2 linked regions of the Stegostoma tigrinum genome follow. The protein of the gene in region 1 interacts with the protein of each later gene in a biochemical or structural test. Links are inferred from orthologs where the notes say so. Each region holds a gene or a part of one and is shown in the gene's direction. Other genes may lie near its edges.

Region 1 (7,266 bases):
GCCCGAAACGTCAGCTTTTGTGCTCCTGAGATGCTGCTTGGCCTGCTGTGTTCATCCAGCCTCACATTCTATTATCTTGGAATTCTCCAGCATCTGCAGTTCCCATTATCTCTGATACTAAGATTACTATACGTCCTTTAGGGAAGAAAACCTGCTATCCTTTCCCGGTTTGGCCTACATGTGATTCCAGACCCACAACAATAGAGTTGACACTGGATAATGAGGGAAGAGCAATAAAAACAGACCTAGTCAGAGATGCCACCTTCTGTGAATTTTTAAAAAAAATTTCATAAATTTCTTTGCGACATTCCTTGAACCTTCTTCGATGAAATTATTGGCCTTCTGCCACAATGTTGCTTTACATGGCTTGGCATTAAATTTGGTTGTTTAACTTGCCTGTGATTTGCCTTGGGACATTTGATTACATTTAAGGCATTGCATAATTGTAACTCGACGTGGTTAGCTTGTATGTTTCATACCTGAATCTTGGACACACTGAATTCACCTACAACTCACAGGCCAAAATTCTTAAGTATGTCAAACATGAAAACTTGAATTTGATTTACGCAGAGGCCCTAAGATAAAGTCAGGAATTAAGTATTTGATCTACAATAAAATCCAAACAATAAAATGACATTCCATGATTCTATTTACTGTTATCCCAAATTAAAAATAAATGATGACGAAGTTGTTTCATAATGGGCTAAATTTAAAAAAGCTCAGATTTAGGAATGGCTGGGACCAACGTCATTTCTCTTCATGCTGCAATAGTAAGACAAGCTTGTAGGAAATCAGAGCAGGAAGTCCATTCAGCTCCCTAAGCCTGCTCTGCCACTATTTAATAAGATAATTGCTGATCTGATTCTGGCCGGAACTCCTCTTCTCTGGCCTGATCTGCATAACCCTTGTTTCAAATTATGTGTTTAATGGCTGCCACACCCGAATGAAAGCAAATTACAGTAGATGTTGAGGTCACATGACCAAAGGAAGATCAGCTAGTAGGTACAATGCGCAGATGCAAACATCCCCTTTTAGACAGAGAAAGAAAATTGTACGCACTATTTTCAGCAGCTATGGGTCACCCAAAATGATCACTCATGAACAAAACTGAAAATTCTAGTCTATCCCACTTTCATCAGTCTGTATGTGCATGCATTGACTTGTTTTCTCTGAGGTTTTCAGGTCTTTTGATAAGATTTAGTTGAGTAACTGCCAGTTTGTCTGGTATCTGTTCATTCCTAGGGTGATGTTCTTTTCAAACAGTTACATGTCACAGACCAATCCATGCCGAATATAATCCCAAACTGAACTCGTCTCACCTGCCTGCTCCTGGCCCATATCTATTCATATATTTTTCCAAATATCTTTTAAACATTGTAATTGTACCTACACTTCATCAGGAGATTTATTCCACATGCAAACAACCCTCTGCGTAAAAAACTTAACCCTCGTCTTTTTTTAAATCTCTCGCCTCTCACCTTAAAAATGTGGTGCCAAGTCTTGAAAACCCTCCACTATGGAAAAGACAATGAGCATTAACTCTATCTACCCCTCATTATTTTATAAACCTCTATATTGTTCTTTCAACTATGACTTCCAAAGCATTTTGAACTGTTGTTACTAGTCTTTTGATTTGAGTTAAGCTGCTTCTTTTCTGTGAATGAATACCAATGCAAATCCTGGGCAGTGAGTTTGCACAGATGTTTGCACTCTGATGACAAATCAGGCAAGAATTTTGCTAAACAGTTCATCAAAAATCTGATGAATCATTGTACTGTATTTACACCTTTGCAACAACTTTCACCTTGCCAAGATCCAAGCAAAGTCGTTTACCATCAGTATATGCCCTTGATCCAGCCATCTTCAATTTCTTTTGTTTTCTTGCTCTATTCTCTTAACATATATTTTCTTCCGTTGTGTGATTACTGCCTCTTCTGCTTTGACTTGCTTACAATTAACTGCCATTACCTCAAAGAACAATATCTTAGCCTTCTTATCATTCTATCCTTTTCTTTTAGGACTTCTGAGTCAGTGGGGCTGCAAGTTGATCTGTCTTGTATTTCTTTGAGGACAGCTGAAACTCTCCTTGGAAGATGTTGAGTTGGTCATACACTTTCACCTACTTCAAAATGATATTTACTGGGAGATGTCCAAGAACTGTAAGATCATATCTTTAATTATCTAGGATCTGTTCAACAGTCAGCAGCTCAGTGGCATAGAAAACATTTCAGATCTCTAAAATAACAAAGTGTGAAGCTGGATGAACACAGCATGCCAAGCAGCATCTCAGGAGCACAAAGGCTGACGTTTTGGGCCTCGACCCTTCATCAGAGAGGGGGATGAGGAGAGGGTTCTGAAATAAATAGGGAGAGAGGGGGAGGCGGACACAGGCTGGGCTGGTTTTGGGATGCAGTGGGGGAGGGGACGAGCTGGGCTGGTTTTGGGATACAGTATATTCCGCTTGGGAACCCTGCAGCCCAATGGTATCAATGTGGACTTCACAATCTCCACTTCCCCACTGCATCCCAAAACCAGCCCAGCCTGTGTCCGCCTCCCTAACCTGTTCTTCCTCTCACCTATCCACTCCACCCACCCCAAGCCGCACCTCCATTTCCTGCCTACTAACATCATCCCGCCTCCTTGACTTGTCTGTCCTCCCTGAACTGATCCATCCCCTCCCTGCCTCCCCACCTATACTCTCCTCTCTACCTATCATATTTTCTCTCCATCTTCAGTCCGCCTCCCCTCTTTCCCTATTTATTTCAGAACCCTCTCCCCATCCCCCTCTCTAATGAAGGGTCTAGGCCTGAAACGTTAGTTTTTGTGCTCCTGAGATGCTGCTTGGCCTGCTGTGTTCATCCAGCTTCACACTTTGTTATCTTGGATTCTCCAGCATCTGCAGTCCCCATTATCTCAGATCTCACCTAAGATGTGTTGGGTTACAAATTGAAGCTTTGGATTTTCTTAAGCTGAGATAGGTTGATTTTTCCTGAACATTTGGTATCTGGAACTCCAGACATTCATTGGGCTGTGAGGTTCATTTGCCATCGTGGGATGGATATTGTTGCAAATTATAGCCATAACTATACCTTTAAGGACTTTATTTTGGGTTACCACTTGAAGCACACAGATCTGCGAGTTCATGACATTGCATAAGGCACCAGTGTCTGTCTGACGCTTCACGTTCACTTGATGCTGCCCTTCTGCAATCATCATCCTAACAGTCACAGGTCATTTGTCACCTTTAGTCCTGATGATGCCAATCTGCTGCATGGTTGAAAGTGACTTGCCCTCTCCAGCAGTCATTTTTATAGGATTATTTTGTCTAATTCTAGCTGAACACTTTCGTGCAAAGTGATTCAGTATTTTGCACTGCTTTTCCCACACTGGACATGCTTTCTCTTCCTTTGTGTCATGTCTTCTTCACAATTTACAGCCTGACCTCTGGCTTTTTGCTTTCTGCTGACTCTTCTGCAGGTATTTTTGTTTTGTTCCACTATGTTGTTTTTGATCAGGCTGAAATGTGTCTATAATAATCTAAATCTTAATAATCTAAAACTTCACCTGTTCTTCCATTGTGTACCCTAGCGCACAGTTGACAATCTCAGAGCTTCTGCACGTTGATAAGCTTTCTTGAGAGTAAGTTTCTCTTCTCAGCAGACTGTCACAATGGGATCCTATCTCTGTGAGATCATACTTCAGTTGGCCAGACTCATGAGATGTGTCAATCCCACCAAATACTTATAAGAGAAATTGAGACACGCTTGCCTACTAAAATATAGCTAGACAGCTATCACTTAAATCTTTACAGTGGATCTCCAATCCAAACCACTGTATTTATTTTGAATTATTCCAAAAATGACTTTATTTTGGAATTGTTAGAACAGATCAAGGCATTATCCAAAAAAACCCTGATAATTAATTATGTTCTTAGGAAGGCCACGGGACACAAACGTTAACTGTAAATTTTTTTCTTCACAAATGCTGCCAGACCTGCTGAGCTTTACCAACAACTTATGTTTTTGTCCCTGATTTACAGCGTCCGCAGTTTTTTTCGATTTTCCTAATTAGTCATGCTTTCTTAAAACTAAGAGTCGGGTGCAATTTCGTCTATCGGAAATTTCAGCGGAATCTCCATGGAGGGGAAAATATCACTAATGAGTAATTTGCTCAGCGTTAGGCTACGCTACTCGGGGGTCGTATTTGGTGGGTGCACTGCTGTCGTGGTTGAGCGGTTGGTGCAACCGGGAAAGGAGTCCGGGGCAGTCCGATCGAGGGCAAAGGTAGATGCTCGGTGATCGGGCTCTTGGGAAACATGTCGGCGGAAGAGAAGAAGCCCGGCCCGCGGCAGCCGCAGGCAATCAATCCTGTCAAGAATTTCTTCGCCGGAGGTTTTGGCGGGGTGTGCCTGGTGTTTGCTGGGCACCCGCTGGACACGATCAAGGTGAGGGGAATGGTTGGCCCAAGCTATCAACGTGCAGAAGCCCTGAGATTGTCAACTGTGCGCTAGGGTACACAATGGAAGAACAGGTGAAGCTTTAGATTATTAAGATTTAGATTATTACAGACACATTTCAGCCTGATCAAAAACAACATAGTGGAACAAAACCAAAATACCTGCAGAAGAGTCAGCAGAAAGCAAAAAGCCAGAGGTCAGGCTGTAAATTGTGAAGAAGACATGGCACAAAAGAGGAGGAAGCATGTCCAGTGTTAATGGGAACTGCAGATGCTGGAGAATTCCAAGATAATAAAATGTGAGGCTGGATGAACACAGCAGGCCCAGCAGCATCTCAGGAGCACAAAAGCTGATGTTTCGGGCCTGGACCCTTCTTCAGAGAGGGGGATGGGGTGAGGGTTCTGGAATAAATGGGGAGAGAGGGGGAGGCGGACCAAAGATGGAGAGAAAAGAAGGTAGGTGGAGAGGAGAGTATAGGTGGGGAGGTAGGGAGGGGGAGGTCAGCCCAGGGAAGACGGACAGGTCAAGGAGGTGGAATGAGGTTAGTAGGTAGGAGATGGAGGTGCGGCTTGGGGTGGGAGGAAGGGATGGGTGAGAGGAAGAACCGGTTAGGGAGGCAGAGACAGGTTGGACTGGTTTTGGGATGCAGTGGATGGAGGGGAAGAGCTGGGCTGGTTGTGTGGTGCAGTGGGGGGAAGGGACGAACTGGGCTGGTTTTGGGATGCGGTGGGGGAAGGAGAGATTTTGAAGCTGGTGAAGTCCACATTGGTACCATTGGGCTGCAGGGTTCCCAAGCGGAATATGAGTTGCTGTTCCTGCAACCTTCGGGTGGCATCATCGTAGCACTGCAGGAGACCCATGATGGACATGTCATCTAAAGAATGGGAGGGGGAGTGGAAATGGTTTGCGACTGGGAGGTGCAGTTGTTTATTGCGAATCGAGCGGAGGTGTTCTGCAAAGCGGTCCCCAAGCCTCCACTTGGTTTCCCCAATGTAGAGGAAGCCACACCGGGTACAGTGGATGCAGTATACCACATTGGCAGATGTGCAGGTGAACCTGTGCTTAATGTGGAATGTCATCTTGTGGCCTGGGATAGGGGTGAGGGAGGAGGCGTGGGGGCAAGTGTAGCATTTCCTGCGATTGCAGGGGAAGGTGCCGGGTGTGGTGGGGTTGGAGGGCAATGTGGAGCGAACAAGGGAGTCATGGAGAGAGTGGTCTCTCCGGAAAGCAGACAAGGGTGGGGATGGAAAAATGTCTTGGGTGGTGGGGTTGGATTGTAGATGGTGGAAGTGTCGGAGGATGATGCGTTGTATCCGGAGGTTGGTAGGGTGGTGTGTGAGAACGAGAGGGATCCTCTTTGGGCAGTTGTGGTGGGGGCGGGGTGTGAGGGATGTGTTGTGGGAAATGCGGGAGACGTGGTCAAGGGCGTTCTCGACCACTGGGGGGAAAGTTGCGGTTCTTGAAGAACTTGGACATCTGGGATGTGCGGGAGTGGAATGCCTCATCGTGGGAGCAGATGAGGCGGAGGAATTGGGAATAGGGGATGGAATTTTTGCAGGAGGGTGGGTGGGAGGAGGTGTATTCTAGGTAGCTGTGGGAGTCGGTGGGCTTGAAATGGACATCAGTAACAAGCTGGTTGCCTGAGATGGAGACTGAGAGGTCCAGGAAGGTGAGGGATGTGCTGGAGATGGCCCAGGTGAACTGAAGGTTGGGGTGGAAGGTGTTGGTGAAGTGGATGAACTGTTCGAGCTCCTCTGGGGAGCAAGAGGCAGCGCCGATACAGTCATCAATGTAACGGAGGAAGAGGTGGGGTTTGTGAAGCATGTCCAGTATGGGAAAAGCAGTGCAAAATACTGAATCACTTTGCACGCAAGTGTTCAGCTAGAATTAAACAAAACAATCCTATAAAAATGACTGTTGGAGAGGACAAATAACTTTTGACCATACAGCACATTGGCACCATCAGGACTAAAGGTGACAAATGGAGCACAGGATTAGCTCCAATGCCTGGCCCTGGGCTGCACCCACTTGCCTTGCAACAGGTGATCATGCCCCAAGGCAGAGCAACCTGTGTGAACTTAAATAACTAATGCACCACCAAAATCATTGCAGATAATTGTGTTTGCATTTGTATGAACAGGTCCACAGATCCCTGAACATGGCAACAGATGGATAAGGTAGTCAAAAACCTTGCCTTCATTGAATGTAAAAGTTGGCAAGTTGTGTTACAGCTGTACAAAACTGTAGTTAGGTCATTTTCAGGTATTGCGTGCAGTTTTGAGAGGGTGCAGGGAAGTTTACCAGGATGTTGCCTTGTCTGGAGGGTTTTATTTGGGTTCGATAAACTCAGATTGTTTTCACTGGAATGACAGAGGCTGAGGGTGACCAGATAGAGGGCTGCAAAATTATCAGAGGTGTGAGTAGGGTGGATACTCAGAAGCTTTTTCCAAGGGTAGACAGGCCAATGACAGGAGGGCATAGATTCAGGGTGAGGGGGGGAACTTTAGGGGAGAAGTGTAGGGAAAATTTTTCATACAGGGTGGTAGGTGTCTGTAACTCTGTGCCAGTGGAAGCAGGCACGTTAGCAATGGTTTAAGGCATATGTGATGAACGTATGAATGGGAGTCAAACAGGGATATAAACTAGGGATGGGCAAAAAGTAGCGGATCAAAATAAGGATTAGCAATTGTAACAGGCTTGGTGAGTCAAAGAGCCTGTTTCTGTGCTGTATTGAATGTGTTGTATGATGTTCTTCCATTATATAATTTTTTATTTAATTTTTCTTGCACAAAATGCTGCATTTGTTTAAA
Region 2 (7,767 bases), on another chromosome or scaffold:
ATGCCTCTGTGGCCACAGGGGGAGTGCCAGAGAACTGGAGAAGAGTTAATGTGGTTCCACTTTTCAAGAAAGTTGGTTGAGATGAACCAGGGAAATTACAGACTGGTGAGTATCATGTCATGATAGGGAAACTATTGGAGAAATTTTTTAAGGAGAGAATTAACATCCACTTGGGAAAAGCATAGGTAAATTACAAACAGTCAGCATGGCTTTGTCAGAAGGAGGTCACAGAATTTTTCAAAAATGTGATCAAGTGTGTGGATGAAGGAAGCTCAGTTGATGTAGTTTATACAGACTTTAGCAAAGCATTTGACAAGGTCCCACAGGGGAAACTGATTATGAAGATGATGAGATGGATCAGAAACCGGCTTCGTAATAGGATACAAAGAGTAGAAGTAGAAAGCTGTCCAAGTGACTGGATGCCAACTTCCAGCAATACGCCACAAGGATCAGTCTGAGACGCATATTGTTTGTTATATACATAAACGGGGGATGTTAAGCAAGTTTTCAGACAACACAAAGGCTGCTGGATGCTCAATAGTGAAGAAGATGGTTGTCAGTTACAGGATTGTTTTCTCAAAAATAGAGGAGGCTGAGAGGGAGATGATTGATGTGCATAAGATTATGAGGGGTATGGGCAGGGAGAGTAGAGAGCAGCTATTCCCCTTGGTTGAGGCTTCAATCACAAGAAGGCCCACTTTTAGCATAAGGCGCAGCAGATTCAGACAGGGTTTGAGAAAAAAGCTTTTTCTCTCAGAGGGTGGTGGGAATCTAGAAAGTACAGCCCAGGGAGGTAGTGGATGCTGGCAACCTTACAACCTTTGAAAAATGAGATAACAAGGTGTAGAGCTGGCTATATTTCTAATCTGGGGAGGGTATTCCGATAGAGAAGAGATAGTGATGATAAGTAGCCAGTGAAGTTAGAGTTAGACATGGTGAGTTGAGATGGAGATTAAAATCATTGAGGATAAGAAGACATTTGTTGGAGAGTCCAAGGGAGGAAACTACAACGAGCCTGATGGACCTAGAGATCAAAGAAATAGCCAGAAAGGGAGGCTTCAGCCATAAAAAAGGTGTCATTATCCCGGACAGATGTTTCCATCAAGGCCACTGGTAGCATATAGTCATTCACAATAAGCTGACAGATGGTCTTTTGCAGAAGTGAACAGGCATTCTGCAGGGAAATGGGCATAGGGACCATGAGACAGTTATCACCCTCCCTGGTCACCAATATCAATCTTTTCACAAATGTAGAAGAGAACAGAATCCCTACAGTGTGGATGCAGGCCATTCAGCTCATCAGAGCTGTCAGAACTCCTGTGCTCCACCTGTTCTTTTTCCTTTCTTTTTTTCTCCTCTACCCTCAGCACTGAAGCTGGCAGCAAGTCCAGAGCAGTGAGCCCTCATGCCCCAGAACACTGTCAGCAGCGAGCACAGGAGCTGCATGGAGAAGAACTCCATAGCAGTTTGTGGGGAAGCAGCCATGGAGCATCATGTGGGCAGAGAGCACAAGCTGGAGGTGTGACTGGTAGCAGATGGGAGAAGGCAGCCTGAGGCGGCTGATGGAGGGGCCCTATCCCCAGAGTGACGGAGGGGCCATGTCCTAGGGCGTCAGAGGGGCTGAGAGACACTCATAGTGGCACGGCGTAGGCTGGAAGCCTGCAGCATGACTCTGGTGGCGGCATGCAGTAGCAAAGGTGAAGGGAAGTTTAGACCCTCTTTAAGTTATTGTGTTTTTACTATGTGAACAGTACATGCACAGAGCGACAGTACATGCTTTTCACTGCATTTTATATTCAATCCACCATGAGAATAAAGGAAATTTTAAAAAATCAAGACCACACCGACCTTTCAAAGGACAGCCACACTGAGCCCTGCCGAATCTTCACCATCCCCGCAGACCTCCCACTGACTGAGGATGAATGGTCAGTCCCAAGCAAGGGGCTCACCTTTGTCCCCCTCCACCCACACATCAACGAATACCAGTCACGTTTGGACATCGAGTATTTTTTCCACCGCCTTCTCCTCCACGCTTACTTCTTTAACCGGGAACCTAACCCTCCCTCCACTGACCCCTTCACCCGCCTCCAACACAAGTCCTCTTCCTGGACACCAACCCCAGGCCTCCTACCCTCCCTCGACCTCTTCATCGCCAACTGATGTTGAGACATCAACCGCCTCAACCTCTCCACCACTCTCACCCAGTCCAACCTCTCCCCCGCAGAACGGGCAGCCCTCCGTTCCCTCCGCTCCAACCCCAACGTCACCATCAAACCTGCAGACAAGGGAGGCGCAGTTGTAGTATGGCGCACTGACCTCTACATTGCCGAGGCCAAACGCCAACTCTCCGACACCTCTTCCAACTGCCCCTTGATCATGACCCCACCCCTGAGCACCAAACCACCATCTCCAATACCATCCATGGCCTCATCACCTCAGGGCACCTCCCACCCACAGACTCCAACCTTATTGTTCCCCAACCCCGCACGGCCTGTTTCTATCTCCTTCCCAAAATCCAAAAACCCGCCCGCCCTGGCTGACCTAACTCATCTCCACCTATCTGGACTCCATTTTCTCCCCCTTGATCCAGGAACTCCCCACCTATGTCCGTGACACCACCCACGCCCTCCAGCTCCTCCAGAACTTCCAATTCCCTGGCCCCCAACACTTCATTTTCATCATGGACCTCCAGTCCCGATACACCTGCATTCCTCATGCAGATGGCCTTAAGGCCCGCCGCTTCTTCCTGTCCTGCAGGCCCGACCAATCCCCCTCCACCGACACCCTCAGCCGTCTAGCCGAACTCGTCCTCACCCTCAACAACTTCTCTTTTGATTCCTCCCACTTCCTACAGACAAAGGGGGTGGCCATGGGCACCCGCATGGGCCCAAGCTATGCCTGCCTCTTTGTAGGTTACGTGGAACAGTCCCTCCTCTGCACCTACACAGGCCCCAAACCCCACCTCTTCCTCCGTTACATTGATGACTGTATCGGTGCCACCTCTTGCTCCCCAGAGGAGCTCGAACAGTTCATCCACTTCACCAACACCTTCCACCCCAACCTCAAGTTCACCTGGGCCATCTCCAACACATCCCTCACCTTCCTGGACCTCTCAGTCTCCATCTCAGGCAACCAGCTAGAAACTGATGTCCAATTCAAGCCCACCGACTCCCACGGCTACCTAGAACACACCTCCTCCCACCCACCCTCCTGCAAAAATTCCATTCCCTATTCCCAATTCCTCCGCCTCATCTCCTCCCAGGATGAGGCATTCCACTCCCGCACATCCCAGAGGTCCACGTTCTTCAAGGACTGCAACTTTCCCCCCGCAGTGGTCGAGAACGCCCTTGACCGCGTCTCCCACATTTCCCGCAACACATCCCTCACACCCTGCCCCCACCACAACCGCCTCCAGAGGATCCCCCTCGTTCTCACATATCACCCCACCAACCTCCGGATACAACACATCCTCCTCCGACACTTTCGCCATCTACAATCCATCCCCACCATCCAAGCTATTTTTCCATCCCCACCCTTGTCTGCCTTTCGGAGAGACCACTCTCTCCGCGACTCCCTTGTCCGCTCCACACTCCTCATCAACCCCACCACACCCGGCACCTTCCCCTGTAACCACAGAAAGTGCTACACTTGCCCCACACCTCCTCCCTCACCCCTATCCCAGGCCGCAAAATGATTTTCCATATTAAGCAGAGGTTCACCTGCACATCTGCCAGTGTAGTATACTGCATCCATTGTACCCGGTGTGGCTTCCTCTACATTGGGGAAACCAAGCGGAGGCTTGGGGACTGCTTTGCAGAACACCTCCGCTTGGTTCGCAATAAAAAACAGCACCTCCCAGTCGCGAACAATTTTATAACTCTCCCTTCCATTCCTCAGATGACATGTCCATCATGGGCCTCCTGCAGTACCACAATAATGCCACCCGAAGGTTGCAAGAACAGCAACTCATATTCCACTTGGGAACCCTGCAGCCCAATGGTATCAATGTGGACTTCACCAGCTTCAAAATCTCCCCTCCCCCCACTGCATCCCAAAACCAGCCCAGCCTGTCCCCTCCCCCCACTGCATCCCAAAACAAGCCCAGCTCATTCCCTCCACCCACTGCATCCCAAAACCAGTCCAACCTGTCTCGGCCTCCCTAACCTGTTCTTCCTCTCGCCCATCCCTTCCTCCCACCCCAAGCCGCACCTCCATTTCCTACCTACTAACCTCATTCCGCCTCCTTGACCTGTCCATCTTCCCTGGACTGACCTATCCCCTCTCTACCTCCCCACCTATCTTCTTTACTCTCCATCTTCAGACCACCTCCCCCTCTCTCCCTATTTATTCCAGTTCCCTCTCCCCATCCCCCTCTCTGATGAAGGGTCTAGGCCCGAAACATCAGCTTTTGTGCTCCTGAGATGCTGCTGGGCCTGCTGTGTTCATCCAGCTCCACATTTTATTATCTTGGATTCTCCAGCATCTGCAGTTCCCATTATCACTGATCTCAATGTACATGTTCTGGCAAACTGAGGGACACCGCCTCACTCTGATTGGACCATATGTGTTCGCTCTGATTGGTCAGCGCTGCCTGACTCTGATTGGTCAATGGCCTCTCGCACTGATTGGTTGACAACCCTTTATTCTGACTGGCCAACACTCCAAGAGCTCGTTCATATAGCTTCATTCCGATTGGTCAATGGACGGAGCTGTGACCTTTAACCTTCCTGTTCTCTATCCCACTCTCCTTCTCCGTGTCTCCCTGTTTGATTGATTTGGCGCTTGGTTCTGCCCTCAATTCCTGTGGCCTAGTGCGCGTCCTGACTCGGTGCTGGATTGTGGCGGTGGGGCCGGGACCAGAGCGGGTGAGAGGCCGGGGTAACGTGGGGGCGGTGTAGGCGGTAACTGGGTAATGGTGGGGGTTTATGGTGAGGGTCGAGTGGGCCGCGGGCCACACGGGCGGAAAGGGGAACTGCCTTCCCCCCCCCCATCAGATCCCTCTGGGCGCGGGGGTCAGACCCGAACCGGGGTTACATTCCGGCAGGTAGGTTGCGTGTTTGGGGGCTGACACGTGCCTGGGTGCCTTATTTTGTTGACTTTTATTCCAGTGCTGAGAGAAGGAATAGGAAGGCATTGAGACTCCTATTGTGGGTGAAGGCCTGTTGCAGGATGAAGGGACATGATGAGACCTTGGGAGCTGCTCTGGGGCAAGGACCACCCAGGGACTGGTTGTGCTTCAAGTTACTGGAACCAGTGACCCCGGTTCTGAGGGCCACCCGACCCAGAACGTTAAACTCTTGATTTCTCGCTTTGTAAAGGAAGGTGTTCTCGGTGAAGGGGGGGGGGGGGGGGGAAACCCAGCCTTCATGAATATTTAGCCTAACTGCCAATTCTTTTGCTAATTACATACATGAATTTAAATGTGCAAAGTGTGATAAATAAGGTTGATAGATTGTAAGCACAAACAGCATTGTGACAATATAATATTTTTTTCCCTCCAGAATGGAGGGTGAAAAATTGAGGACTTAGAGTTTAATATTCAAGGAAATTGAGTGTTCAAAAAAAGTAGAGCATTGAGTTAAAGAAGTCATTGTAACCATGGAAAGAGGGTCTGCCCTTGAGGCAAGGATACAGTCTATTTGGTTAGTGTCAACAAGGTATGATCACACTATATGATATTCTATATGCCTCAAAATGATGAGTGATGCACATCTGCAGGGAAATCATAGGGATGTGCAAGAGCTGTGGATTAGTGCTAATGGGCTGCTTTAATTTCACTGCAAATCAATTAGTTCAATGTTACAGTAAAGGGTGTGGAGGATAAATTTGAAATGAGCTTTTGGTTGGGTTTCTGGAGCAACTAGAAGAGGGCATTGCTAAATCTTGTGTACTGTTTGGGGGGAGCACTTGGGTAAGAATCTTCATTGTAAGAAGGCTTACATTAATGAGGGAGAAGAGGCAGGAACAAACAAAAGAAAATTATAAGACAGCTAGTTTAACTAGAATGCGGGCAGAGGACCATGGTACAGTGGAACCAGAGACTTACAGGAAAAACTTTAAGGGAACTATTAAGGAATAACCCTTTGTAAGATGCTGTACTAAGGCACAAGTAAATAATTCTTACTCTTTAAGGCAGAAATGTTTTAGGTACAGGCTTAGTGCAATCTAACATGGGTGAATGGTAAGGGAATCAATGTCAGGCCTCCCTTGATGATGAAGTAACTAGAGAAAATCATGAAATGAGAAGTTTGTTGCATGTTGGGTAAATTCTTGAAGTGAGAATCGAATCATATACACTCTGGAGGGGAGAGTTCAGGAAAATGAGACTGCCAAAGAGGGAATGTTTTAACAGTAAAAACCTCAGGCTTAAAAAAAATTCAAAGCATGTAGTAAAGGGTGAAGTGGGACCTATTAGAGAGAAAGAGCATTACATATGGTTTAGAGGAGCAGGGACACACACAGTAAGTACTTAATATTGATGGTTATGAAGTGAATTGATGCTGACAAAATATCAGTGGAGCAGATACAGTGGTAGCAGTAAATAGGCTGAAAAATGATAGGCAAGTTGGATGGAAATGTTTCTAGGCTAAGAATGCATCACTCACTTGGTTTGTATCTCAGATTTGTTAAAGGTAGTAGACGTGGAAATAGTGCAAGTCTTTAACCTGCCTCAGATATGCTGAGAGGCCAGAAGTTTAGTAAGTGTCACCTTTTTTATTCAGGAGAGTTTAAGGGCAGTCCTGATGGCTCTAGTCAGCTAGTTTAGCATCAATAGTGGGTAGGGTTAAAGAAACGATAATCACTCGGACAGATTTGAGGTAACTAAGGAACTACAATGCAAGTTGGTAAAAGATGTTTTGCTTGACACTTCCAAATGAATTTTATCAAGTAACAGGCAATTGCAGCGCTGACAGTCCAGAAACACGAATGCTTGAGACTCCATGCTCACAAGGTGCTGAGCCTCGAAGAGCCTATAAGAAACGCTTGTAAATTGCTCTTGGCTCTGCCACTTCTGAGATTTGCAGCCAGTGCCACTGTTAGGGCATTTGTTGGGAACCAAGCACACATTGTTGCTTGTTTTTCCCCACATATCCCCATTGTTTCCAATGGCACTGATTTAATGAGGCCACAGATCAAGTGTAGATTGATGTTTTGAGTCAGTTAAGAGAATGCTTGTGTATAACTGCTGTAGCTGCAACTTAAAATTAAAAAAACATTGGCAGTAGAAATACAATTCTGTGGCTTTGATGCAAGTGATTTTTAAGTACATAATGCATTATCATATCACACACTAATGTACAGTAGAGAATGTAATGTACCCTAGTTGGTTGGTTGCCTGCTAGTCTATTGAAGGTTGATCGGCACTGGGACGATCACGAGAGGTATTTCATGTCAGCCGGAGCAGGAGACAGTGAGCAGGCTACTGGGAACTCCAAGATATCCAGGATGACTGGTCTAGGCAGATATTGCTTTTCTTGGGGGAGTCAGATTTTCAGGATGTGGCTTCAGTCTTAGGTCAGTGATGTAACATGCCAAGAAAAGGATCTGGTCAGAATAGAAGCAGCCTGATGGAAATGGGAATTGAAAATTGATGTCTTCAGCAGGCCTGTCAGTATCTAATAGTTTCAACAACAGCTGTTAACCAGAGTTTGTCCAGTGCAATTGAGAATGTCTTTGAGATGGGAAATGTGGGCATTACGAGTACAAGCCAACCAATTCTACACGGTCTGTTAATGTTTGGCAATGGTGTGGAGCCTTTAGCGAGTT

The links.
Region 2: the proteins of prkar2aa (region 1) and akap11 form a complex in vitro, tested with the Homo sapiens proteins (2 studies listed by BioGRID, with this or other methods). The link is inferred for Stegostoma tigrinum from reciprocal best matches to the Homo sapiens genes PRKAR2A and AKAP11.

The regions. Positions count from the first base shown.
Region 1 is NC_081364.1:9,588,891-9,596,156, reverse strand, and holds the start of prkar2aa (protein kinase, cAMP-dependent, regulatory, type II, alpha A), read left to right. Parts: upstream 1-4,244; 5' UTR 4,245-4,315; coding exon 4,316-4,444; intron 4,445-7,266. UniProt on the Homo sapiens protein: Regulatory subunit of the cAMP-dependent protein kinases involved in cAMP signaling in cells. Type II regulatory chains mediate membrane association by binding to anchoring proteins, including the MAP2 kinase.
Region 2 is NC_081365.1:80,434,501-80,442,267, forward strand, and holds the start of akap11 (A-kinase anchor protein 11), read left to right. Parts: upstream 1-4,745; 5' UTR 4,746-4,865; intron 4,866-7,767. UniProt on the Homo sapiens protein: Binds to type II regulatory subunits of protein kinase A and anchors/targets them.